Linked DNA regions of Canis lupus familiaris. The protein of the gene in region 2 binds, or shares a complex with, the protein of the main gene of each other region. Links are inferred from orthologs where the notes say so. Each region holds a gene or a part of one and is shown on either strand. Other genes may lie near its edges.

What was found. Proteins that work in one complex are often made in the same cells at the same time.
Region 1: the proteins of GNAI3 (region 2) and RGS2 are in contact, whole or in part, in a crystal structure (PDB 2V4Z), measured with the Homo sapiens proteins. The link is inferred for Canis lupus familiaris from reciprocal best matches to the Homo sapiens genes GNAI3 and RGS2. Residues at the interface, in NP_006487.1 of Homo sapiens: Val179, Lys180, Thr181, Thr182, Gly183, Ile184, Val185, Gln204, Ser206, Glu207, Lys209, Lys210, His213, Ala235, Glu236, Asp237, Glu238; in NP_002914.1 of Homo sapiens: Glu104, Phe105, Glu108, Asn109, Glu143, Ala144, Pro145, Glu147, Ile148, Asn149, Asp151, Phe152, Leu180, Asn183, Ser185, Arg188.
Region 3: the proteins of GNAI3 (region 2) and CASR are in contact, whole or in part, in a cryo-EM structure (PDB 8SZH), measured with the Homo sapiens proteins. The link is inferred for Canis lupus familiaris from reciprocal best matches to the Homo sapiens genes GNAI3 and CASR. Residues at the interface, in NP_006487.1 of Homo sapiens: Ala31, Lys32, Gln304, Glu308, Lys314, Asp315, Thr316, Lys317, Glu318, Ile319, Tyr320, Thr321, Phe334, Asp337, Ala338, Thr340, Asp341, Ile343, Ile344, Lys345, Asn347, Leu348, Glu350, Cys351, Gly352, Leu353, Tyr354; in NP_000379.3 of Homo sapiens: Lys644, Ala645, Asn647, Arg701, Val702, Val705, Phe706, Ala708, Lys709, Pro711, Thr712, Arg716, Trp719, Phe801, Ile869, Val872, Arg873, Thr876, Ala877, Ala880, Phe881, Lys882, Val883, Ala884, Ala885, Arg886.

Annotation. Positions count from the first base shown.
Region 1 is NC_049259.1:6,814,667-6,825,493, forward strand, and holds RGS2 (regulator of G-protein signaling 2), read right to left. Parts: upstream 6,486-10,827; 5' UTR 6,437-6,485; coding exon 6,327-6,436; intron 5,303-6,326; coding exon 5,201-5,302; intron 5,098-5,200; coding exon 5,036-5,097; intron 4,458-5,035; coding exon 4,291-4,457; intron 4,017-4,290; coding exon 3,822-4,016; 3' UTR 3,157-3,821; downstream 1-3,156. Other genes in the region: protein SPT2 homolog, read left to right, coding at 6,493-6,893, 7,594-7,747. UniProt on the Homo sapiens protein: Regulates G protein-coupled receptor signaling cascades. Inhibits signal transduction by increasing the GTPase activity of G protein alpha subunits, thereby driving them into their inactive GDP-bound form.
Region 2 is NC_049227.1:42,737,440-42,747,540, reverse strand, and holds part of GNAI3 (guanine nucleotide-binding protein G(i) subunit alpha), read left to right. Parts: intron 1-1,287; coding exon 1,288-1,445; intron 1,446-4,170; coding exon 4,171-4,299; intron 4,300-7,383; coding exon 7,384-7,513; intron 7,514-7,914; coding exon 7,915-8,068; intron 8,069-10,101. UniProt on the Homo sapiens protein: Heterotrimeric guanine nucleotide-binding proteins (G proteins) function as transducers downstream of G protein-coupled receptors (GPCRs) in numerous signaling cascades.
Region 3 is NC_049254.1:26,035,772-26,046,476, forward strand, and holds the start of CASR (extracellular calcium-sensing receptor precursor), read left to right. Parts: upstream 1-4,220; coding exon 4,221-4,405; intron 4,406-6,803; coding exon 6,804-7,110; intron 7,111-10,533; coding exon 10,534-10,705. UniProt on the Homo sapiens protein: G-protein-coupled receptor that senses changes in the extracellular concentration of calcium ions and plays a key role in maintaining calcium homeostasis.

The DNA of each region.
Region 1 (10,827 bases), on a different chromosome or scaffold from region 2:
TCATCTCCTTGCCATTAACAACAACATAAAAACTTGTTTTCCAAGGTTGTCAAAAGGCATCGAAGTCAGTACAGGGAAATCTCCGTGCAGGTCAAAGCTCACTGTTTAATAGTAGCAAAGTTCTCTGTAAGCAGACTAACTTCTTTTTTTTATCTGTGATTGGGCTAACACAGGAAAACAAAGTGAGAAATAGGGTAGTGCTTGGCACAGGCAGGGCTGTCCTAAAGTCCAAATGCACAGTGCACCCCCATCTGTAAGACAATCAGTGCCAGCACTGATCATTGTGGTAAATCAAACGAGTCTACCAAAGACCCATTTCCTATGAAATTTTGAGTGATCACTTTAAGCCATGTCATTGAAACTCATATGTTGCCTCCCTATGCTCACATGAAAATAATACACAATTCTATTTTTTTCAGTGCATGAGATTGCTATATTTTGAAATGCTCCTGAGCTTAAAATATATGAAAAAAATGAAATACTATTAAAATAATTAGACTGGGGATGCCTGGGTGGCTCAGTGGTTTAGAGCCTGCCCAGGGAGTGATCCATGGTCCTGGGATCAAGTCCCACATCGGGCTACCTTGCAGGGAGCCTGCTTCTCTCTGCTTATATCTCTGCCTCTCTCTCTATGTGTCTTTCATGTATAAATATATAAAATCTTAAAAAAAATGATTAGACTGTGGATCCTAAATATATGAACTCTGAGAAACTAGAACATTAAGTAATATTTATTTGTGGAGGTATGTGGCTTCTAATCTTAAATCTGTTTCTGTTTGTTCCACACTAGAGAACATTGAAAAATACCACCTGATTAAAGCCTGTGCTTTTAGCAGCCCTGAAAAAGTCAAAACTCTTGTTTTTTGGTTACTATAATCTGGCTTCTCCTTCGATCAAAGGCCAAAAGTTACAGGGAACATGCTGAATAAGAGGTATTTATTTTTTTCCAAAAGGAAAACTCTACAGATATTTTCAGACATTTGAGCCTATGGGCCTTTTAAAACCTTGTACTTATTTCCTTGTGCATGTGTAGATACTTCTTATTTCACCAAAATTTGTTTACAAGACTTTTTAATACGCCTTCTTTTATTCAGCAATGATTTATGTAGCTTCCACTGTGTGCCAGGCAAGGTGCTAGGTGTTGGGATTCAGGAATGAGCAGCAAAAGACACAGCCTTCAAATTGTGCTATCCACGATCTGGGGGAGAAGTCAGAATTATCAAATAATCATACAAATTACTGAGAATTTTATTAGCGCTCTAAATTAGAGAACCTGGTGCTATGAGAATGTCTAAAAAGGGATGTGACCTAGGTAAGGAGGTCAGGGAAAGCTTCCCCTGGGGAAGTGACAATTGCTTGGATCTATGAATGATGAGTAAAAGCTAAAATTGCATTCCACGCAGAGGGACTATTACGTGCAAAGGTTCTGTGGACCAGGGGCATACTTCCCACAACGGGAACGAAAGTAGGCCAGTGTGGCCAGCAGAGCTGGGAAAACAAGGTTGGAGTGGAAGGAGGAGTCAAGCCATGCAGGTGTTAGGCTATATAGGGGACTGCCTTTATTCTAATTGTTTGGAAAATCTGTCAATGGTTTATAAGCAATAAGAGACAAAATCACGCTTGTTTTGAAAGGATTCCCAGAGTTAAAAAGCAAGGGACACATAGAAGTAGGGGTAAGAATAAGGGGAGTAGAGACCATTTCCGTCACGCAGGCATCAGATGTTGGCATCTTTGATCGGGGTGGCTACAGAAAGTAGGCTAGAAATATATTTGAGCTAATATAAATAGGACTGGGTAGCTAATTGAATATATGGCATGACTCCTGAGTTTCTCTGTTGGCCAAAACCTTCCCAAATTAAGGCATATGCAGACCTGACATACTCATTCTCTTAAGAAATGTCTCTTTCAATAACCCTTCAGAATTCATTTATTCAAACACTGTTTATAGAGCACCTATTATGTATTATCCTGGCTGGTGGTGTTGCAGGAGTGGAAGAGGCAGTCTTTCATGGAGCTTTTGACTGTTGACACCAGACACTTTGGGTAAAATGGAAATTAGTGCCAGCACAATGAAGACAATATTTAAACTATGGGGTATGTGTGTGGGGGGGTAGTGGTGGAGGGGAGGTGATGGTGGTCAATTTTTCTTTTGGCAAATCAGAATGCCTTTTTTTTTTTTTTTTTTTTTAAGTGCTTTAAAGCCCCTTACTACCTCCCAGGCAGTGGGATAGACAGGAAGATGTACATTGAGGAACTGGGGAAGATGAGGACTCCCAAGGTCATAAAGCTATGAGAAATTATTGCTTAGGTTCAGGTCTTGCAAATCTGAGATGAAGGCTCTCTCTCTCCTTTCTAAAACTAAGACTATAATCAAGGAAGTTGGAAAAGAAGCCTACTGAAGAAGAGTATTCCTTTTCTAAATAACCGGTTTGAAAAAATAACAGATTCTAGTCCTTTCACCCTTGACTAGGAAAAGAGCACATTCCTCGATGAAGTTTAAGAACAAAGTGTGCTTCTTTTGCCTTCATCATAAGCTGACATAACATAGTCAGTTTCTTTATTGGCCAGAGGAAGCAGGAGAATCAGGAAAATTCTGATTTTTGTATTGATCATGGAGGTGAACAATTTCAGGTATGCATCTTGGAAGTTCATGCCAGTACCCTGTAGGGGAGCCTGGAACCAGGGGAAATAAAAAAGGCAGGCCTACATTCACCTTATTTGGTTCCTTTTTTCATTTGAGAAGCTGAGTTATGTGAACTATTCTGGTGCTTTGCCTCCATTACGTTATTTTACTTCTCAGCTAGTCTTTAGTAGATACCCACGAAGGGCTTTAAGGTCAGTGGTTTTTGTTTTCATTAACAACAAGCTTATATTAGAAAGTCTGATCCCAGGGTGGTTCTAAGGAGGCGGTCTGACTTTTCTTGGTCTACCTAATGTTTATTAGGTTTAAAAGAGACGTTAACTGCAGGGAAGACAAACTCCTATCACTTCTCATTTCTGAGCACTGTCAATGCTTACTCGACAGGCACATCACCTGGTGTACCTCTCCTTTACTGGAAAAAGGTTTCTCTTGTAGCTGCCATATTAACAGCACTCCTCCCCTCCCTCACAACCCACAACCCCCTCCCCCATGTCTGAACCGAATAGTCAATGACATTATTTATCAAAATAAATTTATTAAAAGTATTCAAAGACCACGTCAAAGTTTAGCTGCCTTCAGGACAGTTTTTGGCACTCATCATGAACAATGTAGTTTCCTACACAACAGCACTCGTTCTGTTCTAACACTTAACAATTCAAACAGACCATTTCAGTTTTAGTGTTACAGGAGACAACAGTACTGATGATCTGTAGTCGTATGAACTTCAACACCCTTGCACACAGTAAACATTTTAATATTACTTATTCTAAATAACTAAAACTAAAACCACTATGTGGTAATGGACTGAATTAGGGAAAGATATACAGCCAGCTAGCTAAGGCCACATAATCCCAGACCTATTGATTTTAAATGTGTTTGGACCAACAGTGTCACATCAGACCTTTGGGTCTCCCATTCCTGCCTTTCCAGTGTGAGTGAGACACACCACATTTGGACCACCTTCTCCCTGGGTTCTAGACAGAGCTATGGGAGCCGTCCCAACACAAGCTTCTCCTACACAGTCACCAGCTTCCTGATTCACTAACTCTGAATCAATAGTTCTGAGTGATGTTTCCTGAACACCCAGGCTAAATTCAAGGTCAGTCTTTTTGGAAGGTCGCAGCCTTTCCCCTTAGGAACAAAATGAAATGTCCTCCACTCTTGGGCTCCCCTTTTCGTCTCATGTAGCATGGGGCTCTGTGGCGATCTGTGGCTTTTTACACAAGTCCTGATAGAATTCTGACTCCAAGAAACGGGGATAAGAGTTGTTCTCCATCAAGCTGTAGACCCTTTTCTGGGCGGTTGTAAAGCAGCCACTTGTAGCTTCTTGTATGTTTTGGGCAATCAGAGTTTTGGTTTGAAAGTCTATGTTTATCTGAAATTATAAAAAAAAAGGGGTTTATTCCATATTCAAAGCTAGGGACTGATACCTATTTAATCGTTGAAAACAAGCAGCAAAAACTATAATGTGTGATGAGCTTCATTAGCCAAGTCATTGAAGAAATGAAATTAAGCGAATTAAAAACTAGAATTAGTTTCTTGAAACAATCTTGTCCCTCCCCCCTTTAATTTAATGTCTTTTTGTTTCATTTTGGTGCTAAGAATATTCAAAATATGCTGAATTGAAGTTCTTTTTTTGCCCCCCTTACCTCTTTAGGTGCTTCTTTTTCTATGAAATCAGTATATATTTTCCTTGCTTTGGAGGACAGCTTTTGGGGTGACTTGGTTTTTTTGAAGTCTTCGCAGGCCAGCCAGAACTCAATATTTTCTTCACAAAACTCAGATTTTAAAAAAGCCCTGAATGCAGCAAGACCATCTGGGGAGGAAGAAAGGGGGGAAAAAACATGCAGAATGTAAATTGGGTGACCAATTAATGCCTTAAAATTTTTCCAGAACTACCATTCTCCCATCCCTATATTTTATTATTTCTAAATGATGGCAATTTTCTATATTTCACTCAAACTTGTAACCCTCAGAATTTAGCCTTTTAAAGACTAAGATGCTAATAGGCAAAATGCATAAGCTGGCACACTGCTACAAAATATACTTAACTTTGCTTTTAATGCAAATATTTAGAGGGGAACCTAAATTCTCCGGGCTCCAAACCTCCTGGAAACCTTGTATGCAATGGAAAAAGCTGATTCAATTCAACCTTAAGGAAGAGCAACTGCCCCTACAATTTGGGCTACTTTTCCTTCCCTATCTACAGTGAAGAAACCATGTATTTCTATGGTTAAACAGGAAATAAAGGAGAAAAATAGGCATTAGATCTTTAGTGATTGCAAATTTGAATTCCCCTTGAGCAATCTGCTTTTCTGTTGTGAACACCTTTGTGGACTCTTGTGATATTTGTGATATCTTGTGAAATGGATCAAATTCAAAAGGTTAACTTACATTTACTGGCTAGCAGCTCATCAAACGCTTCTGACCACAGCTGTGCTTCCTCAGGAGAAGGCCTGCAAAAGAAGGTCTGCTCATTAGCTCGTGCACATCAGAATTCCTCTTTTCAGCTCAGCAGCTAGCTATTCATGTTCGCAAATACAAGATTTTTCAACTTACTTGATGAAGGTTTGCTGTTTGCTTTTCTTGCCATTTTTGGGCTTCCCAGGAGACGACGAATTTTGTAAGAAGTAGCTCAAACGGGTCTTCCAATCTTTTAATCTTAAAAAGAAAAAAAAAAAAGATATTCACTAAGTGACAACGTTTGAAATTGCTGTGGCAGCTGAAGGCATTTTTACCAAATAAAGCCACCCAGTAGCAACAAGAATCTTCAAGTCAGTCTTACTCATTTTACATTTAAACCTAGCACCTACGTGCTTAACGCAATTAGTTTCATCCCTTCATCTGAGCAGAAGTACTACTCTCATAACCAAGGGTAAGTCTACCTAGGACATTTAAATGAATTTAGATGGCATATTTCAAAAAGACAGATGCAATTTCTGACCCACAAAAGACCGCAGTTTTTCTGCAGCCTTGATTACAATTCTGAGACATTTCACACTTGAAGAAACCTAACACTGGAACTGCTTGGAGCCAGTGGGTGTTCATTTCCCTCCTACCCTTAGAGCAAGAGGCTCTGGACCACTCCAGAAGCCATGAGGCAGGGGGTGTATGTGTGTCCGAGAGAGAGAGAGAGAGAGAGAGAGAGAGAGACTGAGTTCCCCTGCCCCAGCCCAACTACAACACTCATTTTAAGCAGATGATGCATAACGATGATTTGCTGCACAATCTTTAGTGGGTGAATTAAGCAATTCAGTCAAAAAAAAAAAAAGCGATTTTAAAACGAGTATGTTCAGAACCAGCCAAAATATTCCAATCCGGAAGCTGTGCAAGCTGATCAGAACTTATAATGCAAGGCACCAGTGCTGGGGATGTGCTTCGGCCCCAGGATCCTCGGCTGCTACCTTAGACGCAGGGGCCACAAAGCCAACCTGCGAGGTCTTAGCCTCCTCATCCTCCTCATCACCACCGCCTCCCTATCTAACATGCTCTCAGTCCTAAACTACCCGAGAGTCCTTGGCTCACGCACACAGATTGAACCTTACTTAGCTAATTGCCCTCTTCCACATTTTTGCTTTTCCCTGCAGAGGCGCGGGTCGCAGGGTTTCCTAACGTCATCACGTTCGCAGCAAACCCGGAGCGCCAGGTGCGCAGCGCGGGGCGGGCGCCCGAGGGCCGTACTCACAGGGTCCGCTTCATCTTTTCCCGCTTCTCCTCGTGCTTGGGGCTGTTGCTCGAGCTCTTGTCCATGGATCCGCAGTCGTGCTGGACGGCCAGGAACATGGCACTTTGCATCGTCCACCGCCTGCCGGGGCCGCAGCTCTGCGCGGCGGGGCGCGGGCGCCGCCTTTATGGGCGGCGGCGGGGAGGGGGCGGGGCCTCCGCCGCCGGGCCCGCCCCCCGAGGGCACCGATTGGTCGGCTGCACCCGGGCGCGGGGGCGGGCGGCCCGGCCCGCGGCGGTCACGGGCGCCGCCGAAGGCTCTCGAAGCGAGGTGGGCTGACGTCCGGGGCTCGGGCTCCGGCTCCGGCTCCGGCTCCGGCTCCGGCTCCGTGCGCGCTCGGGCCCTCGCGGCGGCTCGCGGGGTTGCGTGTGGGATCGGACCGGGACGCCTCGCCGCCAGCCGCGCCCCGGCCACGGGACGACGGGACGACGGGACGACGGGAGGGGGCGCTCCCGGCCCTGGAGGGGTGCAGGCTCCGGCGGGGAGAGGCTGCTGGGAGCGGACCGGGGTGCAAGTGCTTTATTTTGAGTTAAGATGTTTTCCAACCCCCCGCCCTTGTTTTTTGGAGAGCGCGCCCTCTTCCCACGCCTCATTTCTTGCAAACAGGCCGCGGGGAGACCCTCCCCTCTTCCGCTGTGCGACTCCGTTGAGTTGGGAGGGGAGGAAAAGATGAAAGGGAGGGGCGGGGCGGGGGCGGGGGCGGGAGCGAGGGGGGTAGGGGCGGAGGGGGGCAGGGGGAGGGGGCGGGGGGCAGGGGCGGGGGGGCAGGGCAGGGGGGACAGGGTCAGGGGAGGGGGCGGGAGGGCAGGGGCAGGGGCGGGGGGGCCGGGGTGGGGGCAGGGGAGTGGGGCAGGGTCAGGGTCAGGTGGGGGAAGGAGCAGGGGCAGGGGGGGCCGGGGCGGGGGCGCGGGGGACGGGGGCGGGGGTGGGGCAGGGGAGTGGGGCAGGGGCGGGGGGGCCGGGGCGGGGGCGCGGGGGACGGGGGCGGGGGTGGGGCAGGGGCGGGGGCAGCGACCCCCGCGCGGCCGGGGGGTGGGGTGGGGGGGGGCAACCCGGAACCCTGCGGGGACTGAACGGTAAGCAGGGAAGGAACCGGAGAAAGGGACTTTATCCGACGGCCGTGTTTTAAGAGGGTGTGCAGCCTTGCTCCCCGCAACCTGCGTGATTGGGTCTTCCCGTGGGGTTGCAAAGCTTTTTCTCCGAAATCCTTGGTTGCTTCTCCTTCCAGGACAGAGAAGTCCCAGCTCTCCTCACGAGGAGACGGAGGGAAACACCAAGACGTGGAAACTGTGATGCGCCAGAGCCATCCTCGTCCTGGGAGTGCAAGGATGCAGGGTTTCCTCATGAGTCATTCTTGGCTGAGAATTTACCAGAACACTTAATAACTTGCAAAGTGGGGGAGGGAGGAGAAGAAGACGTGAAGGGTTTACTTGCATAATTTGGTGATTGTTCAAAAATCATCTGTGCGAAGGCCGGCTTTAAGTGTTTTTGAGTGGGAAGGACAAACGGAGAAGGTCCACAGTCGATGACCTCAACACAATTCACTCCTTGATTTCAGGTATCAGAGCCGTACAGTGGAATATTCAGATGGTTTCCCCATCAAGCATTTAAGTACAAAGTAAGACTCACAGCAAGGTATTGATTAGGCTACAGATACTCTCCGAGCTTTGCATTAGAACTGCCAAAAGGAAATTGGAGCTAGTTTAACTTCGTGCCCTGAGCAGCCAGTAGTTGACATGTAGGGTAAAATCTGCAGTTACTACTAAAGAGAACAGACATGTAGTTCATTATGGAAAGGAAAAAAAAAAAAAAAACATTTGGATTTCAGTAATAAATACTTCAAGATGTGTTTGTGAAATGTAAGAATGCTGTTTTTCTCATGCATATACTCTGTCTCTACAAGAACCTTGCATAGTATTTCCATCAGTTTTCACGTTCTGATTATTCAATACTTACTAAATGCGTGTGATCCCTGGGTGGCGCAGCGGTTTGGTGCCTGCCTTTGGCCCAGGGCGCGATCCTGGAGACCGGGGATCGAATCCCACGTCGGGCTCCCGGTGCATGGAGCCTGCTTCTCCCTCTGCCTGTGTCTCTGCCTCTCTCTCTCTCTGTGTGACTATCATAAATAAATAAAAATTGAAAAAAAAATAAAATAAATGCGTGTGATAAATAGCCCCTCTCTTTTTTTGTTTTTTTGCCAGTATAAACCTTAATACATCATTCACTTAGAACCTTGGATGGTAGTATGCATCCATAGTGGAAGGTCCAAGAGTTCTCATTAAGAAGCAGCAAGGAGAGAGAGCTGGACCTGCGTCTGGAGACCTAATTAGAGTCTTGGCTTAACCAATAAATGCTAAGTAACTGTTGGGACGGTCTCATCACACCCCCTGGAGCCCCAGTTTCTCATTTGTGCTAAGACTAGTGTATCTTTTTTGCCAATCTTATTAGACATTATGTGACTCATGTGAGGGGCCTTTGTAAATTCTAAAGTACAGAGGTTTGGTATTGTAAATTCGCACATATGTGAAAAAGGAAATATAGCTATTCAAGGGAGAAAATCATTAAAGGTTTAACTCAGTTAATTAGGTTATAAATGTGCAAATATGATTAAAATACCAAAATGATGTGTCAGATTTGTAAAGGCTTAAGCTCATAATAAGATACTTAACAAAAGCTTTCTGGATAATAAGCAAATAAGGAAAACAGTTTGCCATTTAAACTTTTTCAGAGATCTCTAAGCCAGGGAAGTTAGATCATCTCAATATATTCACAAAAGTGAATATATATGTATCTGTGTAAACAACTGTTTAAATGTAGACCATTTTAGATGTTTCTGTGTTTAATGTAATTATTTGCTTTTTTCATAAACCGTTTCTGATGGACAACTGATGGCAGCAAATTTAATTTTTTCCTGAAGATTATGAGGTCAGTTGATAAGTCACTGTGTAATGGTTGATCATTTCTGTGTGTAAAGTGATTTGAAGAGTTAGGGCAAGACCTGTTTCAGACTGATAAAACTTTTAGTCAAAAAATTGCCATGCTAATGTCATTTATAAGGGCTGCAGACATAGATTTAAAGCAAAAACTACAATGTTTGATGACTCCCCCCCCCCTTTTTTTTTTGTTGCAAGTGGCTTTTAGGTAAATGGGATGGCTCAACATTAAGATGACACATATTTTCCATTCTGTGGTGGAGGGAGAAACAATGCAATAGGTTGTAAATATTGCACAGCAAAACCACAGTTTGGTTTGCTGGAGAATATACATTCTCAATGTTGAATCTACCGTGCCCTCTACTGGAGAGGTTCTCAGAAGCCATTAGTGGTGGAGGTGGTTCTCCAAGTGGTTCTTGAACTTTTTGTATTTAAAAAAAAAATTAAATTACGGAAGAAGGCAAACAAAAAAATACAAGTCTCTAACAATACCAAAAGTAGAATATGGAAAGGAAAAGTCTCCCTGCCACAATTCTCCCCTCTGTATGCTCTTGCCACTGTAAGCTGTTATTACTAAGAATTATTCTTATTAGCTAAACTTGTTTATACATAATAAGTTTCATACTTAGGCTTTAGAATTTAAGAACCAAGGGAAATGCTTAAAGAACACACAAGAATCATTCTGTGTATTACTCCATGCTTTGTTTTTTTTCAGTCAATAAAATATCTTAGTTCTTAAGTTTGTAAAAGCTATAAACCTGTTGCTTACCTCACAAAATCATAAATTGGTGGTAGGCTTAAAAGAAAGGGGGGATAAAAAACCCTAAGAAGTTAAGTGCTCTGTGGCAAAGGGTGTGATGAGTAATTGGAAAAAAAGGAAAGTTTTAATACTGTGATTGTTGAGAGTATTTAAGGAAGTAAGACACCTACCTGTCCTTTACTCTCCCTCCCTCCAACCGCCTCCCCCTTTCCTTCTTTCTTTTCTTTCTTTTCTTTTCTTTTCTTTTCTTTTCTTTTCTTTTCTTTTCTTTTCTTTTCTTTTCTTTCTTTTTTTTCTTTTTTTTCTTTTCTTTTCTTTTTTTTCTTTTTTTTTCTTTTCTTTCTTTTCTTTTCTTTCTTTCTTTTTCTTTTGAGGGAGAGGAGTCTCATTTAACTTTAATTGGTGGAATTTTTTTTTTTTAACAGAATGAACACACGACCCCAAAAGATCCTATGCTTTTCTTCTTAATATGATCTGAGTTTTTAATGTCTTTCTTAGAATGCCGTTTGCATACCCAGAGGTGATAAGAGAGAAAGTTAGTGTTTCTGTTGGGAGTGAATCAGAATTCCAACATAATACTTGACATGTACTACCGAGGAGTAATTTTACCAATCTTTGCATTGGTAATTCCAGTTAGAGCACGTCTATGGTTCTGCCTTAAATTCATCCATGATGTGGGGTATGTCCTACTTCAGTGCAGGCAGGGCCTAATCAATTTGAGAACACTTTCCTCACTAAAGCAACTAGATGCTCTTTGAAAACCAGCATC
Region 2 (10,101 bases):
TTTGACAGCATTAACTGGAGTTCACAATGGTTAGTCTTGTTTTTTGCATACTTTTGGGTGCATGAGTTTTGGAAACACACAAGTATTAGGAGTTTTGGGTTGTGATTTCACCTCTGGTCTGAAATGCTTTTTGCTTGCTAGTTTATTGTCCTAATGACCACTTACGATACAACCAATTGCTCCTTTTCCCTCTTTACTTTTCCTTTACCCAGTAAGTATGGGTATTTTTTTAGTATCTGCATCTTAATAGTTATTTGGAACTCTCCTAAGGCAGATAAATATGAGATTTGAGGTGGGGAGAGCATCCCATGAGATTTCAGTATATGGGGTTTTTTAAAGATTTTATTTATTTATTTTAGTAATCTCTATCTCCAGTGTTGGGCTGAAACTCACAACCCTGAGATCAGAAGCCGCATGCTCTGAATGAGCCAGCCAGGCGCCAGGTTCTGTTCTGTTCCTTTCTCTTCTATCTTGTTTTTAAAGATTGAGACCTGGGTTTGTTTTTAAACTATTTGACAAGTAAGGGTAGGTAGAATAAAGCAAAATAATCAGAGTTCTCATAGCCCTTTTCTGTCCTCTTTACAGTTCATGTTTTAGGTTTAAAAACGTTAGCCACTTATAAAGCTTTTTGACTCATGAGTTTTGATCACATCTCTTTGTAACTTTCTTTTCCTCTTGCTCTTTTCCCCCCCCCCCTCTCTTATTTGAAGGATTATTATTCCTTGGGGAATCTACAAACTGAATTTTGCCCCCAGGGATTTATTTTCCCCCCTAGGCTTCTAGACTTCTTAAATAATTCAGTCTCCTCTTCCTGTTCCTCTGTCTGAGCTGAGGAAGAAGAGAACACTTTCCTTAAACTCCATTAATGTTTTACTCGCTCTGAAGTGTTTAGACTTTACCTCTTACATGCTAGTTTTTTTGTTTCTATTTTTATTGTAGGTTTGTTAACAAAATGGTAATGTGTTACATGTGTTTATATCACAGACCAGGTTTTTTCTGTCAAAAAGCTATGAGTAAGCAGGGTGGAGATATGTAAGCCACTCAGAAGAGATCTTTTTAGGAGATAGTGGTATGTGGTGGGGGGACTGAAATCATTCCTCAGCTCAGCTCTGCACTTCTAACTACAGTGGAATGAGTAGGGGGAGTGACTTCATTGTAAATTCTCTCAGACAGCCCTGCCTGGAAAGATCTCTTCAATACTTCTCTTAAAATAATGAAACATATAATGTGCGTGTCAAGTTCTTTAAGGAGCGGAGAAGCATTCTGTCTCTTAACTTCTTTCTTCAGGATGATGCCCGGCAATTATTTGTTTTGGCTGGCAGTGCCGAAGAAGGAGTCATGACTCTAGAACTAGCAGGAGTGATTAAACGGTTATGGCGAGACGGTGGCGTGCAAGCTTGTTTCAGCAGATCCAGGGAGTATCAGCTCAATGATTCTGCTTCATAGTGAGTAATTTTTCCATAATAGAAAATAATTTGGTGACACTAAGAAAGTTCAGAGTCTGTCCTTGACAAAACCTTAAGTAACAGACACTTTTAGAAGTCTGTTGCATGATTTCAGGTTAGGGTAATTACAAGCCCTTCGTCATTTTGTATGACTTGGAGAACAACATTGCCTCTTGGAATGTAAATGGGAGAATTAGTACCATGAAAAGTAGCTCCATGGTAGTTTATAATAAGTAAGTGAAAGAGGAGAGAAATCTTTTGCAGCTGGATCCTGGATCTCTTCCAATGCAGTTCCTTCTGCATAAGGACTTTGCATTAATTGCCAGCTAGTGAGGGAAATTAGAAATGTGATATCCCTTTTTATGCATCCAACTCTGTGGCTGGCCTGCACTATGGATTTCTCTGGTACTGGTCACCACTAATAAATCTTTGGCCAGATCACAATAGTAGACTTTGTACAGAGAATGTTGAGTCTTAGTAAGAAGTCAAAGCATCTGTTTGTCAAGGGAATTCTGTTAAGTGTTAAATAGTTTGAGAGAATGTGTAATTAATACTTGTGTGAGGCTTTGATGTGCTGATTTTGCCTCTTATACAACATGTGTATATATAAGATCTATATTCTGAATGTAGGTTTTTAATGTGCCTTTTGGAAACTTGGTGAGTTCTTTGTACCTGTATCTATCTCTGTTCTAATTGGAGGCACTTTTAAGTATTAAGGTATTTTCTCCAATATTCACATTTTCCTATCTTTCATTCTTATTTAAGTTGTTGTAGGAAGAAGTTAAATTATATTTGAAAAACTTAGTTATCTTGAAATGAAAACTTAACCTTAGAAAAATTTCAGGATTCTTGCCCACCTTTTTTTTGTTTTTGTCTTCGTTTTTCTTTTTCTTTTTCTTTTTTTTTTTTTTAAATTGGAGTTCAATTTGCCAATATACAGCATATCACCCAGTGTTCATCCCGGCAAGTGCCCCCCTCAGTGCCCGTCACCCAGTCACCCCCCCCCCCCCCACCTACCTTTCCACCACCCCTTGTTCGTTTCCCAGAGTTAGGAGTCTCTCATGTTCTGTCATCCTCACTGATATTTTCACTCATTTTCTCTCCTTTCCCTTTTATTCCCTTTCACTATTTTTTATATTCCCCAAATGAATGGGACCATATAATGTTTGTCCTTCTCTGATTGAATTATTTCACTCAGCATAATACCCTCCAATTCCATCCATGTCGAAGAAATGGTGGGTATTTGTCATTTCTAATCTTGCCCACCTTTTAATATTTTTTAGTTGCATATGTTGGTAGTTTCAATAATTCTCCCAGTAGTCATGAAAGCTAGATTGTTATTATTTTTTATCATACGTTCATTAAGCTCTAAATCCTTCAACTACACCAGAGAACATGTGATTTATAAATTTTTTTTCCTGGGGATCCCTGGGTGGCTCAGCGGTTTGGCGCCTGCCTTCGGCCCAGGGCATGATCCTGGAGTTCCGGGATCGAGTCCCACGTGGGGCTCCCTGCATGGAGCCTGCTTCTCCCTCTCTCTGCCTGTGTCTCTTCCTCTCTCTCTCTCTCTCTCTCTGTCTGTCTCTCATGAATGAATAAATAAAATCTTTTAAATAAAAATATAAAAGTAAATAATTTTTTTTCCATAATATTTGATTGAGACTTGCCTGATTCCTTAACATTGATGGTAGTACTTAGTTTTATAGAGGCTCATTAATGATTCACTTATAATAGTGCTACCTGTTCTTTAGTTTTCTAGCTAAAAACTCTTTAGGAATCTGAAATTACCAAAAATTTAACTTAGCTTTAAAAAAAATTAACTTAGCTTTGAAGCCGTCTTTTAATTAATTCCCTGAATAAATTTCTTGGAAGTATTTACAATATTTTTGACTTAGATTTTAAAAAACCCACAACTTTTTTTTTCCTGAATAAAACCAGAAAATATTCTTATTGAACATAGTTCTCATTTTAATTTTAGTAATTCAAACACCATTCTCTAATGTCCCATCAAATGTCAGAACATACAAATGACCTATTAACTTTAAATGTCTGAAGGCTTTTGTTTTGGTTTTTCTCGATTTTTTTTTTCCAAAATTTTTTATTTTTAAGTAATCTTTTCACCCAACATTGGGGCTTGAACTTAAAACCCTGAGATCAAGAGTCACATGCTCTACTGACTGAACCAGTCAGGCACCCCAGAAATCTTTTTTAATAAGAATGACATTTCCATATTTGTTTCCTTCTAATTGGCCTTCACAGCTTAATTGTGGTAGAATTAAAACCCCCTTTGTGTGGCATTTATAAAACCTACATTAATTGTCCTATGCTAGATTCACATTTTTTTCCTCATCATTTCTGTGATACCGAAGCTCTGATTTTGTTCTGCCACTTTATTTTTTATTTTGTATGTTTTTAAACGATTTTATTTATTTATTTATTCATGAGAGACAGAGAGAGAGGGAGAGAGAGAGAGAGGCAGAGACACAGGCAGGGGGAGAAGCAGGCTCCATGCAGGGAGCCCGACATGGGACTCGATCCCAGATCTCCAGGGTCATGCCCTGAGCCGAAGGCGGCACCAAACCGCTAAGCCACCCAGGGATCCCTTGTTCTGCCACTTTAGTGACAGGTTTAGAATCTACTTTTGGCAAGGAACTAGTTTAGGTTGTTGATTTGGTGTGTACATGGTTAGCTTCACCAAGTTAAAATAAATGTGTGTTTTATTTAGTTACCTAAATGATTTGGATAGGATATCCCAAACCAACTACATTCCAACTCAGCAAGATGTCTTGCGGACAAGAGTGAAGACCACAGGCATTGTGGAAACTCATTTCACCTTCAAAGACCTATACTTCAAGTAAGTCATTATTTTGCTAGATGTGCGAATTACAAATATCTTTCCTTTAGTTTGTATCTTTAATCAGGGTAAAATTTCTCCAGGCCATATTCTTTGCTTTAAAAACCTATCATCAAAACAACCAACTAACCAACCATCATATTCATCAGCCAGTATTTGAATTTTAACTGAATGAGGGCCCAAACCTTTCTTCTTTCTCCAAATAGCATCAAATACCTTTGTCTATTTGAGAAATTTAAATTCAAAATTAAGTTGTAAATATCAATAAAAGTAATCACATGGTTATCTATTTATTTTATTTTTAATTTTAGTCTTTTCAGCTGCTTTTTTGTTGGAATCGTCAAAACAGGTATTGAATGTTTGTTGTTTAGAAGGGGTAACAATAATACTAAGTATAGATACTTAGTGATGTGGCTTTGTTCTGCCATTTTGATATTAAAATAGAAATGCTTTACTCACCAGTGTTGATCTTTCCTTACCAAAGCACATTTCCCTTTAAGTTTAATGGAATGGAGCTAATATTGTCATGGCTCTTGGACTGATTTGTGCATAATGTCATGTACAACTAAGTTCTTAATGTAGTATGAATGGAAAATTGATATAGACATAGAGGTATTTTGGTAAAGTATGATAACATAAAAAGTGGTTTTAGAGAGAGAGAATTCTAGTACATGAATACAAAGGACTTTCTCATTAGCATTAGTCTTTCTAAAATAGGCTTCATCTTGTCTCTGTGTTAATGGTCTTTTGTAAATAACTGTCTTTTTGGTTCCCGTTTTCTGCTTTTGTGACCTTTAAGATTAGGAATAAACTTCTCTTCAATATATGATGTTTGTTCCAGCTACCTCATTATACTTGTATGTAGTCTGTGATAATCATCACTTTTGCACAAAATTGTAATTTCTAGCTGAGAGCTTCTCCATGTTCTTCTCTCTGAAAACAGTTACTTCACAGGATTTGTGAAATCTACAGAGTTCAGGTATTACTAGATACCATTTGAGGTCTTGAAATCTTAATAAACCAAAACAGATCTGAAACATGGTGCAGGAAAATAGTTCAGCTGAATATTAGTAGAATAGAAGAGCTGCTTATTTTTTTAGGACTGATATATTTAACTAGAGTAGCAAAGGCCATATGAATTTATCACCTGTGCAACCTATAAGAATGAGATGTCTTTTTGTGTACTACAAGATCAGTAATCCATTTATAATTAAATGTGGTGAACTTTATTTAGTGTGGGAAACATTCTTGTTGATGTTGACATGGGTTGATCTTTAGTTGGGTAAATCCTGTTGGTCTTGTGTCAGAATCAGTAGCCAGCTCTAGTTAAGATGCCACACCCACTTTATTATTGGCATAGAGATCTTGTTATGAAGTACTATCACTTCTTCCTTTTCCTCTTCTCTCTAGGCAAAACCACTATCCATTTATTCAAACACTTATTGAGCATCTGCTATATGCAAGGCATTGTGTAATTGCTTACTTGCCTCTCAGTTATGAGGTAATGTTTATAACATGTTGATCTGTTAGTGAATTATATTGTAAATGTTATATGTGCTAAAAGCCCACCCTTGGGACGTCATGGTATTCTGCAACTTTTATGGACTTTGTAGAAGACAACAGAGGGATAAACTGAAATTATTGCTGTACCAGCATGTGTCTCTCCTTGAAAGATTTCTGTGGCATATGTGATGTTTGCTTTCCTAAAACCTATTATATGATCTTGTATTAAAGCCAACTTGTGATTGCATCATTCCAAGTGTCATGTCCAAAGGCTGAAAAAAACCTATGCTAGATCAACCACAAGAAAAGACTGGGTTGTAAACTCAGTTATGTCTTATTTCTCTTGATCTTCAGGGGAAAAGTCTTTGGAAATAGACATTGAGTCACTTTAGATCTGGCATACTAAACCAGCTTGGCAAAGTTTACCTTTTAAAATTTTGTCCTTGTCATTAAACATCTATCTTCAGAGCATCTAATCATTTGTATACATACCTCCTCAGATGCTGGTACTAGCTAGAGGTAGAGCACTGCAGGTGTTCCTCTTACTGTAGGAGGTAGATGAGGACACTGTTGACAGAAGTGCAGTAGGTGGGCCAGGATGTCAAGTAAGCCCCCCAGAAGGGAGTGGTGGACTGAAACTAATCAGGAGTGGAACATAAAATCTGTGAACAGCTGAGGCTTTGTTATTATTGATTAGATTCAACTAGGACATAGAGTTGGGAAATAGTGGTTATATTGGGCTCTTAAGAGTCCTACCCTGAAAAACAGTTTACTTTCCCCCCGTAATTAATCTCTGAAATATTTTTTCCTTAAAGTAAGGAAAACATACCTCAGCCATACCTCAGTTAAAAAAAAAGAAAGTTAAAAAGTAAGGAAAACAAACTTTCTGGAAGCAGAATGCAAGTTGGATATTTCTATTTTTTATTGTTCTCTTTGACTGAAGAGGTAAACCATTTTGGGGAGTCGAATGGTGTTACGGCTAAGAGCCTGGGTGCTGCAGTTAGAGTGCCTGGGTTCAGAGTCCCAGTCCCCATTTGCTAGTAGTGTGCCCTAGACCCAGTTATTTACCATACCTGTGCCTCAATTTCTTCATCTGTGCACTGGAAACAATAGTACTAGCAGCAGTGTTGTGAGGGTCAAAGGAGTTAGTGTACTTAAGATGTATAGGATCATGTTTGGTACCATGGTAAACAATAAATGTTAATATTTTGTTACTATTATCTTAAGTTGTATTATTTAGCTCTTTATTTTTCCTGTCCTTTTTCCCCCCTCCTTCCTTTAGTCCATTTCAGTGCTTTTTCTGCTGACTTTTGGCACTCCTGATAACAAACTTAAAGGAAGTGCAACTAGTTACCTAAAACGAGGATTTTGATTGTTCCTAGATTTTATTTTCTCATGTTGTTCTCTTTTACTTTTAACCACAGTATTAGTTTGACTGCATTTTATCTGCTCCTTGTTTGTCTTTTCTATTATAAATGGAGTTTTGAATATACATTAGTGGGAAGTTCTCTAACCACTTCAGTTTAGGGAGAGGTGTATTTGTGACCTTGCTGAATTTGTGCATTCTTTCCCTTTACTCAGGATGTTTGATGTAGGTGGCCAAAGATCAGAACGAAAAAAGTGGATTCACTGTTTTGAGGGAGTGACAGCAATTATCTTCTGTGTGGCCCTCAGTGATTATGACCTTGTTCTGGCTGAGGATGAGGAGATGGTATGTGGATCTTCTGTTTAATGTAGCCAGGAAGTAGAAAATAATTCGTAGGAAGATGTGCATTCATTTGCTCATTGAACCAAATCTTGATTCCTTAATTTTTTTTTCCTGTCAGTGAGATTAGACTTAAAATATTGATCCATGCCCTTCTTATTCTTTAAGAGGTAGGACAGCACATTGAGTATGTGGGCAGGATTAAGGCCTCTTGTTAGCCAGTCTTCTTCCCACTTCCCAACTTCCAGGGATTACGAAAATGAGGATTGACTTAGCTTTTGTGTTATCAGTGTCTAGCTTATTTCCATGAGTGCCATTCAGTTCTTCTAAAACTTATTGGTCTGTTTTTTTCATGAACAGTTCATGCACTTTTACCTTTTGCTACTGACATCATTTTCCCCCCTCAGAACCGAATGCATGAAAGTATGAAACTGTTTGACAGCATTTGTAACAACAAATGGTTTACAGACACTTCAATCATTCTCTTCCTCAACAAGAAAGACCTTTTTGAGGAAAAAATAAAGAGGAGTCCATTAACTATCTGTTATCCAGAATACACAGGTAAGGGATCCTGAATGATTTTGTTGGAGGTACACATCTTAGATCAACACTTCAGTGACATTGTTAAATTTGTCTTTTATTTTGAACAATGTATGTATGTCCTTATGGAGAGTGTTCACTGGTAGTGATATTAGCATTAAGCATGTGATTAAGACCCTTTAAGTCTAAAGTGCTATTCCAGATATAATTGAGTTTACTATGTATATTACATTTCTGTCCTCAGTTTTTGAAGAAAATAGAGAAAGATAAAAATAAAAATTTGGTGTGTTTCCTTTTTTCTAGAGGAAATGACATTTGGAGTGAGATAATGAGAGGATGAATTAGAGACCACTAGGCAGACAGAGAATTAAAAGCTTTTTAGGAAGAAGGAATAGTGTATATGAAAATAGGGAGGTAAAAAAAAATGTCATGAGGGGTGCCTGGGTGGCTCAGTTGGTTGACCATCCGACTCTTGATTTCAGCTCAGTTCTTGATCTCAGGGTCATGAGTTCAGGCCCTGCATTTATTAATAAAAGTAAGTAAATTTGTTAAAAAAAATTTTTGTTTTTGGAACCTAGAAAGAATTTGATATTGCCAGAGTTTAATGTGATGGGAAAGAGTCATTAGAGTGATAGGCAGAGATGCTCATGGAGGGCCTTGTATCTCATATGGAGATGGTGGGGCGCTATTGAAGGATTTTGATTGGGGTACATGATATAGTGGAAACTGTGCTTTAGAAAGATAAGCAGTAAATAGCAATAAAGATAGTAGGGAGTTGAATTAGTAAGGAGTCTCTTAGGATGCAAATAAAAACTTTAGGTGAAGATACAGGGATATATCCTAGAAGCCAAGGGCAAGAATGCAGACATACCTTAAGAATACATTTAGGAAAAAAAAGAATACATTTAGAGGGGGATGCCTGGGTGGCTCAGCAGTTTAGCACCTGCCTTCGGCCCAGGGTGTAATCCTGGAGTCCTGGGATCGAGTCCCACATGGGGCTCCGTGCATGGAACCTGCTTCTCCCTCTGCTTGTGTCTCTGTCTCTCTGTGTCTTTCATGAATAAATAAATAAAATGTTAAAAAAAAATCATTTAGAGGGCACCTGGGCAGTTCAGTTGGTTAAGTGTCTGCCTTCAGCTCAGATCATGATTCCAGGATTCTGGGATTGAGCCCAATTTTGGGCTCCCTGTTCAGTGGGGAGTCTGCTTCTCCCTCTGCCCCTCTCCCTTATTCCTGTGTGTTCTCTCTCTCAAATAAATGAATTTTTTTTTTTAAAGGGAGTTCTTCCTTTAAAAAAGAGGAATGCATTTAGAACTAAGAAATAGAAAGCTGTCAAGGACTCTGGAAGCACCTTTTCCCTGTCTCTTTTTTTTCTCCTTCTCTCTGTGTATCTTTATTCTTCTCTCTGTTTACCAGCCTTCTGTGCTACTCACTTTATGTGATACAAGATGGCCCTGCCACAGTATCTCTCCTGTATTCAAAACACCAGGTTAGGGGCACTTGGCTGGCTTAATCAGTAGAGCATGCGACTCTTGGTCTCATGTTGTAAATTTGAGCCCTGCACATTGAGTGTAGAGATTATGTGGAAATAAAATCTTAAAAAGAAAAAAAAAAAGAAGACCAGGGTACACTGATAGTGGCTGGCCCCAAGTTCAAATTTCTAGAAGAGAGATTCTGGCCAGTATTAATTTAGGCAAAAATCCTTAGCCCAGTCATTCAATCAAAGTTAGGGACACAAATATGAATGCCGGGCTGCACCACTATAACCTTTAGATCAGAGTTGGGTGTTTTCAGGGAAGGAGAACATATGTTGGCTGAGCAGACCCTGTAAAGGCTTTCTGTAATGAAGTAGAAGAGTGTCACTAGGGTAAGGAAGTGGGAAGAGTACTCGTAGAATTCTGCCTTGATTGGCTGCTGGTGCTATGATCTGAATTGATATTTAGGAATCTTGATTTTGAAGCATCTGTGGAAAATCCAGATGGGGGTATCTAATAGGTAGATACATACGTGGCCTTGGAGCTTTTATGAGAGATTGGGGTTTAGATATATTGATT
Region 3 (10,705 bases), on a different chromosome or scaffold from region 2:
TCATGTGGTCCCCACTTTGAATTAATTCTCCTGGCAGTATTTCCTCCTGTACTCTCTCAACACCTACTTCATGCCTCCTTCTAGCACTTGCATCATTCTACTTAGAATACATATCTCTGTCTCCTTTTAAACCATGAGCATCTTGGAGGCAGCAATCTCAACTTTCTCTCCTGGGTACCTTGCACTCCCTAGTGTCTAACACATATGGGGAGCTCAATGAATGTTTTTGGATGAACAAATGATTGCAGATGAATTTGCAAATTAATTAACCTATGGAGCCATAGACCAGTCTGCCCTGACCTGCCATCCCACATCTCTTGGATTAGGAAGGAACTCAGTGATCGGTCATCTGTTAGTACTAAAACACTCCTCATGATTTCAAGGGCTTTCTAAACATAAAACCAGCTGGTACACGGGTCATTTCTTCTTCCAAATATATCTGCCATTGAGATAAAGAACAAATACTAGCTTTAGCTTGTGTTTACAATACTTTTTTGCAGGAGGACAAACATGATTATATATGATTTAAATGAAATGAACTTATAGTAAGGAAAACAAATGAGTTTACTTGTGACTTTTGGATAGATACTTGATATAGCTACAGTAAGACGAAATATAATAATGACTTATACTGCTAGAAGCTTTTTTATCTTTCGTGTAAGAGCCCAGAAACAGTCTGATACGGAGGTTCTGCTCCATGAAATCATCAGGTCATGGTACCATCATTCCCTAAGATATGGTGCAGGGTTCAAGATGGGCTCCACCTGCCACATATACCTCCATGCAGCAGAATGAAGGTAGAGGGATGAAGGGACAAAGGATAAACACTAACTCTTAAGCAGTTTCTTGGAGGCTGTCACAGGCACTTCAGCTTACATCCCATTGACCACACATGATTATAAAGGAAGTTGGGGTGGAGGCTTTCATTTTGGATAACCACATGCCCAGCTAAAAATGATTTTAGTGTGGCATACAAGGAATACAGACATGAGGGATACGATCAGATGTCTCTACTGCAGATACTGCAACTGAAGTGTTAGTGATTATTCAAGAACTTTTGTATTCTCATTACTGCAAGCTGAGGTCACATTGATGAACTCCAATTGTTAATCCACTGTGCTATGATCACACTTGGTACTGCCCTGATTGTCCTTATCAATGACAGCATGAGTGAGGTAGAAGGAAAAGAAAGCTTTTGCAATAAGGAAACAGGGAGGCAGTGGGAGTCTGGGTAAGGCGGTGGCAACAGCAATCAAAAGGAGAAGGCAGGGTGGAGAGAGATGGTAGATTCAGCAGGACAAAGTGATTGGATATTGGAGGAAAGAGAGAGAGAGGATCGAGAATGATTCAGCTTTAAAGCAAATTAGGCCCTCGTAATTGGGCTAAAAAGGGTGGTTTGGAGACTGCATTAAACTGGTGGAGTTAACTGCTGCAAATTGACCTGAAATCTCTCCTTGATCTATTACTTCTTGCCATGAATTTTCTCTTGAATGGACTAATGAAGTTAATAAACTTCTCCAAGTAGTTAATCTTTGACAGGAAAAATTTAACAGGTCTTAGTGACCTACCTTAACCAGTCATAATGTTCCCTCTCCTAATTCAGTACCCTACTCGGGACTTCTTAAAATTCTGAGTTCTTGAGGCATTCTTAATTCAAGTGCCAGAATTTCTCACTTGAGTAAGCTGAATATATGGAGAATCTATTCCCCCACCTGGAAAGTGGAGTTGGTACTGCAGTTGTGAAATTTAAAAAAACACTGGATGTATAAAGGACCTGACACAACAAATGCTAAATGCCTGGTTCAATAATATGCAGGGAACATGCATATGTTTGTTACCTTTATATTTCCAGTCCTTAATACATGTACTTATTAAATGTGTGAATGAATGCATGACCAAGATCCAAGAAATGAAGCCAAAAATCTAAATGCAGAACTAGAGTCAGAGAACTACTCCAGGGTAGTTCTGGATGGATCATGGATGTTCAGACCTGAGGTCATGAATGGTCAGACATTATTAGAGACAATTCCATGAATGTTGAGTGTCTGTGGGGGTACTCCTTCCACGTGGGTCCCAGTATCCTCTGCTAGAATGATTGTTGGAGAAGGTGGGGTTCCTACAGGGCAAGAAACAGCATGTAACAATGATTAAGGGTTTGGGCTCTGGAATCAGACATTTATGCATATAATCATAATAAAATATGAAAAATCTCCCAACAGGAGAACTCCAAGATCCAAGATGTAAAAGATTATAATAGGTGGACCTGCCTAGTCTGAGGGTCCAGGGAAGGCCTCCTTGAAGAGTCCTGCAAGTTACTCACTGCACAATGAGGGATTAGTATGGGTGGAAATCCAAACTGTGCCTCACTCCCAAGCTGGATGCCTTAGTGCAGGGCTGTGTCTGGCCCATAGGAGTTCTTTTCTCCATTCACACAGAAGCCCCAGTTTGCCAAGCTATACCCACAGTCATGAGCATCTAAAAACTGAAAGATAAGTAGATGTGTTTCAAGCAAAGTTTGGGCCAGAGGGACCAAGGAGGGAGAAAAGCATGTGTGTGGCCTGGGATTTTACAAAGGCCTGGTGTACTTGAGGAACTGGTGGAATTTTGGTATAACTGGAGTGTGAAGTTCAAAGAGAAGACCACCAAGAGTAAAGTTGGATTGTGGCTAGCATTTTCTGGGAGTTTACTAGTTACACTATGTTAAGATCTCTCCATGCATTATTTTATTGAGATCACAGAAAAATGACTTTACCTAAGTCATATGTTAGAAAACAGTGAGACTATGATTCAAAGCCAGGTTTAACATCAGAGCCTGTGCTCCAAACCAGGTGTTTCATGGCATCCTAAGATTTGCAAAGATAGACTGCAAAGGGATAAAACTGAAGACAGGAATGCCTATTAGGCAATAGTTGCAGAAATCCAGATATGAAATGCTGGCAGACTTAAGATGGCCTCAGAAAAGGAAAGGAGAAGATGGATTCTAGAAATTTAGGAAGCAGAGTCTACCGGACTTGGTGATTGTTTGAATATGAAAGGCAATGATAGGAAGAGAGAGGAGTCTAGGATAACTCCTTATTTTGTGTCTTTGTAAATGGTACTTCATTTGCTGACATTAAAAAACAAGGAAGTAGCAACAAGTTTGGCAGGAAGGTGAGTTTAGAGCTTGTCAAGTTGGAAGCACGTGTGGGACATCCAGGTGGAGATGGCCAGATGACAGTTCAGTGCTGGCCCTGAACCTTAGGAGAAGCTGTATGGTTACCCAACATTTGACCTTGACCCAGAGAATGGGTGAGAGGGTGTAGAGTGAGAAGAACAAAGATTTCCCACTAGGATAATTGTGCTAAAGCAGAAGGACTTTTCCTTAGATCCAGCTGTTGAAACTTTTAAACATAATCTGACCTTTGATTTATCTGCATCCTTTATAAGAACTATTCCTCAAAGGTTTATAGAGTGTCATATTATAAACTGAAGCCAGAGATCTGTGATAAGAAGGTACAAAAAAGGGACGAATATAGATTAGGTGGCCTTTTTTGACATTTTTGATTGATTTAAAGCCAGATTTAAACTTAAATATGACTCATTCTGTATTTCTGTAAGAACATAGGCGCTGAATAAAATGTCATTTATATTATAATAATGCAAGGAACTGCTTCTACTAAGAAAATTCTGTGCATTATTCACACAGAAGAATGAATGGATTAAAATCCAATAACAGCATCAGTAGAGGCCTTAGCTTACCTCTTTAAAATGTGGCCTCACAACTGAACACAGTCCTTCTCCAATATGGGCAAGTAAAGTTTTCTGTATCTTACATGAAGTGCTATAAAAATGAGACTCTAAGTCATGGCTTCCCCTCTTGCTACTCCTCAGCCTCTCTAAATGGAAATTCTAAGCCATGTCAGTTGCATGCAGTCATCATAACAAGATGGGACTTAGGCTTAGCTGAATTCATTCATTTTGTCTCTCTTTTCTTTTAGAAAGCATCACAGACACTCTTTCCACAATGTGGCTTCTAAAGACTCAAGGACCACCCACCTTACTAGTCTACGATGGCAAAGGCAAAAATGGATATTCAAACATCACAGCTTCCATTCCGTTATTAATCATTCTGTAGACATGTGCCCCCACTATAGGAAGTGAACTGCACTAAGGGGGAAAGTTCCAGCAACCCCCAAACCACCAGCACTCTTGTCTCTCCCCCTAAGAGAGAAGGCATCACTATGGCATTTCACAGCTGCTCTTTGATCCTCTTGGCAATCACCTGGTGCACTTCTGCCTATGGGCCTGACCAACGAGCCCAGAAGAAAGGGGACATTATCCTTGGGGGGCTCTTTCCTATTCATTTTGGAGTAGCAGCCAAAGATCAAGATCTAAAGTCAAGGCCGGAGTCTGTGGAATGTATCAGGTAAGGAAAGGACCCAAGTCATAGGGTCTCTTGTCTTCTGGTGGTTGTAGAAAAACTCTACCAAACCCAAAGTAATTTATTCAAAGTTGGTTCTCTCTCAAAAAAAAAAAAAAAAAAAAAAAAAGTTGGTTCTCTCTTTTCAAAAATGGTGATTGGTAGTCATGCTGAAATTATTCTACTCCCCTTTTTAAAAGAAATTTTTCAAAAAGTAAAATGTCAAAGATACTGAGTAGAAGAATCCATGGCCTATTGGGAGTATGTGTCTGGTCACATGGTAACTGAATCATCATTGTTCACCTGGCAGCAGTGTTGCCTAATGAAAGACTAAGTACCTAGAAGGAAATTTGTTTTAGGTCTTGCAAATCTGAGTAGTAAAATCTCCCATTTACCTTAAGTGCTCTGAGTGTTGAGTGTTGGCTGAGTGTTGGATTTCTGCAACTATTTCCTAATAGGCATTCCTGTCTTCAGTTTTATCCCTTTGCATGAGTGTTGGCTGAGTGTTGAGTGTTGAGTGTTGAGTGTTGGCTGCCTCACTCTCATTTTTTCCAAAAAAAGGATTTTAGGGTCGAAAGAAACCTCAGTGGTTGGCATAACCCATGCACCTTCAAAATGCAACCCACAATATTTTGGAGGTCTTTCTTCTAAAAAGCCAAAATCCTCCTACCCAAAACAGAATACACCTAACACCAATGGAGAAAACACAGAATTAATCTAAGTCTCTCACTGAACTCTCTCTTCAGCCATTGGAAGACAGCTAACATGTCCCATTGAATCACTTATTTTCCAGGCCTGAGTCTTGGTTTTCTGAACAATTACTTCATGACATGATTTCCAGACACTTCACCATTCTCATCGCCCTTCATCTAATGCTCCCTAATTTATCACGACTCTCCTAGAATATGGCAACTAGAATTAGGCACAATTCCATCAAACAAGATCTGACTTCTGCAGAGTAGAATGGACCATGTATCACCTCCTTTCACAAAGATATCAGAGACCATGACTGTACCCCAAGTCTTTACCCAACTTCTAAGAGAAAATACCACTTTCTCTCTGAGACTTGCAACATTCGGAAGGGATCCGGCACTTTTTCTGCTCTTCTTGATTGCTGGAAAATGAAAATGAAAACTAATTGCTCCAACAAAACGATTTCCGTTCATGTTCGAATTTGGAAAATTAGATAACATTTTTACATTTTTCTCATGAATACAGAAAACTAAGTACAGAATTTCAGTTAGGCTAATTATATCCCCTCACACATCCCATGTGGACAGGTGCCCTACTGAACAGAATTGCACATGTGCTACGTATATTCCTAAGATCAAGCAAGAAGCCCCGAAATACTATAATTTTAAGTTATGTTAAAGAAAGATAGTAAAATCAGATAAGTATTTTATGTAAAGAAATATTCTATAACCTCTCTTAACTTTTCAGGGTTAAAACAAATAGCTAAACAAAAAAGTGATGGATAAAGAAAATGACTAAGAGAAAACACATTAAAAGTTAAAAACCTACACAATAGAGTGGAGTATAGCAAATTGTATTTCTTACCTCCTGTCATTGAGTTCAAGTAACCTACCACATAAAGAAAAAGCCTGTGGAGTTATTACATTTCCCCCTTTGGGGACTGACACACTGATTCAACACACTTACCTAGTCCTCGCTCTGAGCCAGATCCTGGGAGAGTGAAAACTAAGTCACTAACCCTACTTCTCTTTGTTTAATCTGCTTGATATTTATTTAAAATAATGTTCTTTGGAAAGCAATGCACGCTCATTTTTTATAACAGATTATATAAATAAACCAAAAGCCCATTTATAAAACCCATCACTCCACCACCCCGAAATAACCCCCAAAAACAGCCTTCCTACAAATGTTCGTTAGTTTACAAAGATGAGATCTATCATTTCCCTTTCCCCTTTGACCTCTAGTAATGTCATAATCTAAATTTGTGACTCTGCAAATCTGAAGTTACTTCTAGGCTCCCACCTATTAAAAATCCTAATCTTCTTTATATTTTCCCTAATCCTTTTTTTAAAATCTCTGTATTATTTTTAATACTTCATATCAGCAACTTCAAACTCTTTGCTGGATGAAACAGATACAAATTATTCATTCTATTCTAATAACAACCTTTGTGCTATCATTGCTCCTTCTATGTAAGGCACCAGGCTGAGAATTTTGCATAATTATCTCAGGTTCACAGCCACCATATGAGGTAAGCATTGTCCCCATGTTACAATGCTTGACCATTGTCCCCATTGTCTGAGTCTCAAAGAACACACCACGAAACCAAAGAGTAACAGAGCCATGATTCAAACCCAGCCTTGCTCAGTCCCCATCCTCAAGCGATTGATGAGAAAGCTTCCCATTTCCTTCCATTTCTTCTTTCTTCCAGGTACAATTTCCGCGGGTTTCGTTGGTTACAAGCAATGATATTTGCCATCGAGGAAATAAACAGCAGCCCAGCCCTTCTTCCAAACATGACACTGGGATACAGAATATTTGACACTTGCAACACCGTTTCTAAAGCCTTGGAGGCCACTCTGAGTTTTGTGGCACAGAATAAAATTGATTCTCTGAACCTTGACGAGTTCTGCAACTGCTCAGAGCATATCCCCTCTACTATCGCTGTGGTGGGAGCAACTGGCTCGGGCATCTCCACGGCTGTGGCAAACCTGCTGGGCCTCTTCTACATCCCCCAGGTACACAGGTCTTCTCAGATGGGGCAGCAGTGTAAACAGGAATCAGGACATAAGGACTGCCATGCCCAGTGTCCCTACAGCTTGCTGTTTTCCTACCTCTGGCTTTACATTAGCATAAAAGACCTTTAAATTAGTCAGGGCACTGTATCATGACCATTTGGGATTTCTGAGACTCCAGCATCAACCATGTCAACTAAACCTTCACAACTCTTCCAAAATTCTTTTAAGTATACTGTATATAGAACTTTGTCTTTTTTATCAAAGTGTTCAGTCATTTACTTTCCACTCCCTTCCTTTATTTAATAAATGGCCGTCCTTCTGACTTTACTAAAAGGAATGAAACCATATGATGTAAACCCCACCTTTCAACTCAAAATATCTGTCCCTAGTCCTATTCCCTTAAAAGTCTGCCTATCTTCTGGTTGAAAGTTTAGCTCAGGGGGAAGCGGAGTATACTTTCTCACAGAACAGGAACTTAATCATTGTCTTGCATGTTCTAGAAATGGAAAAAATTCTGTTTCATTCAACAAATATTTATAGAGCATATATGAATCAATAGTGTCCATCCTGCAGGAATTCAACCCAGGTGAGGAGATGTCTCAAATACTAGTAAACAGTTCACTGAAACAAGTGTTTTGATGAACATTTGTTCAAAGTTGCATATTTTTCCCCTATGAAGTAAAGCTTTTTTCATGTTAATATTCATAGATATATGACATCATTTTTATAATAGTGAAAAATTGGAAACAACCTAAATGTCCATTGAGGGGAGAATCGGCTCAATTTTGAACATCCTTTATATCAATTTTTAAATTATGAATCACAATTGAATTTATCTTTTTCAGTGTCTAATATTTCAAATTTGTAGGAGCACCTTTGAGAAATTCACATTTATATGTTGGGAGTCTCCATTTCCTTGGTGGTAGACATTATCGTTTTATATGCATGTGGCAACTAAAAAAGTCTTGTCATCATTTCCCGAATCTTTACTTCAGGGAATTAAAGGTATTTCCCATGGGGAAGCCCTGGCTCTATAACTTTTATGCAAGATGATCTAACAATGCCCCTATCAGTAAATGTGTTGGGCAATATGCAAATATGCATCTTATGAATTTGGCATATTGTACAGTATTTTTTTTAAATACACTGTTAAAGTAAGTTGTTGTAGCCAAGAGGCACAAGATATAATTGCCACCAAGTAAATAAAGAACCAAAAGTAAAGGTTTTGATTCTTTGTGGTTTGGATGAAAGACAAGGTTAAGCTAAATTCGAATTATAAAAGTGTTGTGAAGGCTATAATAATTCTCAGTCAAAACATTGTTGAGTGTATCTACAGCAGTGGTTCTCTGCTGTGACTGCAAGTTGGAATCACACGGGGAGCTTTAAAAATACTGATGTTTGGGTCTCTTACCCCGGAGATCCTGGTGTTTTGTTTGGTTTTTCATTTGTTTTTATTTAAGTTCGATTTGCCAACATATAGTATAACACCAGTGCTCATCTCATCTAGTGCCCTCCTTGGTGCCGGACACCCAGTCACCCCATCCCCAACCCCCCACCCCCTCCCACCTCCCCTACCACAACCCTTTGTTTGTTTCCCAGAGTTAGGAGTCTCTCATGGTTTGTCTTCCTCTCTAATTTTTCCCACTCAGTTCCCCTCCTTCCCCTTATAATCCCTTTCATTATTTTTTATATTCCCCATATGAGTGAAACGGAGATCCTGTTTTCATTGATATGAGATGCAGTCTGGGTGGCAGTTTTGAAAGCTCCCAAGGTAATCCTAATATGCAGCAGAGTTGGCAGCCACTGCTGTGCAGGGTAGGGGCAAGGCCCAGGGGTATTTCTTATGCCACTCATGCCATCAAGTGGACAGAATAAGCAGCCCAGCAGGACAGTTGTGGTTAGAAGTTTTCTGAATCATTCATAAAATTCTTCCCTCTTACAATAACAAAAGTTTTGTGTATTTTTAAGGGTTTTTTGTTTTGTTCTGCTTTGTTTGTTGGTTGGGAGGACAGATAATGAGGTAGTATTTATCCCCATGTTTCTAGTTGTTTTTTTTTTAACTGGACAACTATTATAAATGCATTTTAAGAGAAACATATCCATAGTAGATATATATGTGTGTAACTTTAATCCTTTAAAAATGCTTTCAGCCCATTTTTCCAAAGAAGTAGTAAGCAATAATGGATGAATTTACAAAATGCCCAAGTAGGTTTTTCATTTGCAAAAATATGATTCAGAAGCCTGTTGTCTGGGTCTGCAAATAGAGCTCTGTTAAAACAATAACATTTCAACAAATTACTTAATCAACTACCTACACCTCATGAACTCTCATAACAGCAAGGGGCTTATTCTGATAAAAGAAAAAAGTCAATTTCATATTGTAACTTTCAAAATCAAAGCTTTTATCAGAAAAATCATGCTCTTTAGCAAAGTTGGCCTAGAGGTGGTAGAAAGGGAAGGGCAGAGGGAGAGGAAGGGGGAGAGAGAGAATGTGAAGCAGGCACCATGCTCAGCACAGAGCCAAATGCAGGGCTTGATCTCACAACCCTGATATCATGACCTGAACCGAAATCCAGAATCAGGCACTCAACTGACTGAGCCACCCTGGTGCCCTGGCCCTGATCTTTCATACACCAATGTCTTTCATGTTTTTGATGTAGAAACTATTCATTGATAAGAAGGAATACATTGGAAAATTCATTTTAAAACGCTGAACATAGAAAACTAATTGTTTTAACTGGTGAGAAATATTAAAAATACATCCCCCCCCCAATTTTTTCAACTGTGTTTCCTTTAAAATCTGTCTAGAAAACTGGAAAACAAGAACTATTAAACGCTGTTTCATTACCAAGAGAGGGAATAAATGGAAACTGGAAGAGAGAAACTAGGCAAAAATAGGAAAGAGGACCCTTCAGGCTTCTCTGAAGAACCTTTGGTTTATAACCCATAGGGAACCTGATTCCTTCCAGAAGTGAGTCATGGACAAAGTGTTCGTCATAGTATAGGGGAAGCTAAAACATTTAGGTTAGAACGTGAACCTAACGGGAAAAAGATGTGTCCATAGATATAACCAATGAGGCAGCACAGGGGAAGTTGGGAACAACTATGGAACAGTGTAGAAGGCTCTCCTTGAAAGAACAAGTAGATTCTACTATTGTTGGGTTGACTTTACAGCCAGACCCATTTCTGAAGGTTGTACTGTGAAGAATCACCCACTGAGAACTAGAACGTTCCCTCAAAGACTGACAGATGTTGAGTGCTCACACTGGAGAGGAACAGGTTCTGGCTGTCTTCACCCTTTCATCCCATCTGCAGTGAACAGCATGTTTTGATAAATTAAATTAATGAATGCTCAAAAAACCACGTCCACACAGCCTCACTCACTGGAATCTCACTCACTCATTCATCCTGTGTTCTTTCCAGGTCAGCTATGCCTCCTCCAGCAGACTCCTCAGCAATAAGAATCAGTTCAAGTCCTTCCTCCGTACCATCCCCAATGATGAACACCAGGCCACTGCCATGGCAGACATTATTGAGTATTTCCGCTGGAACTGGGTGGGCACCATTGCAGCTGATGATGACTACGGCCGGCCAG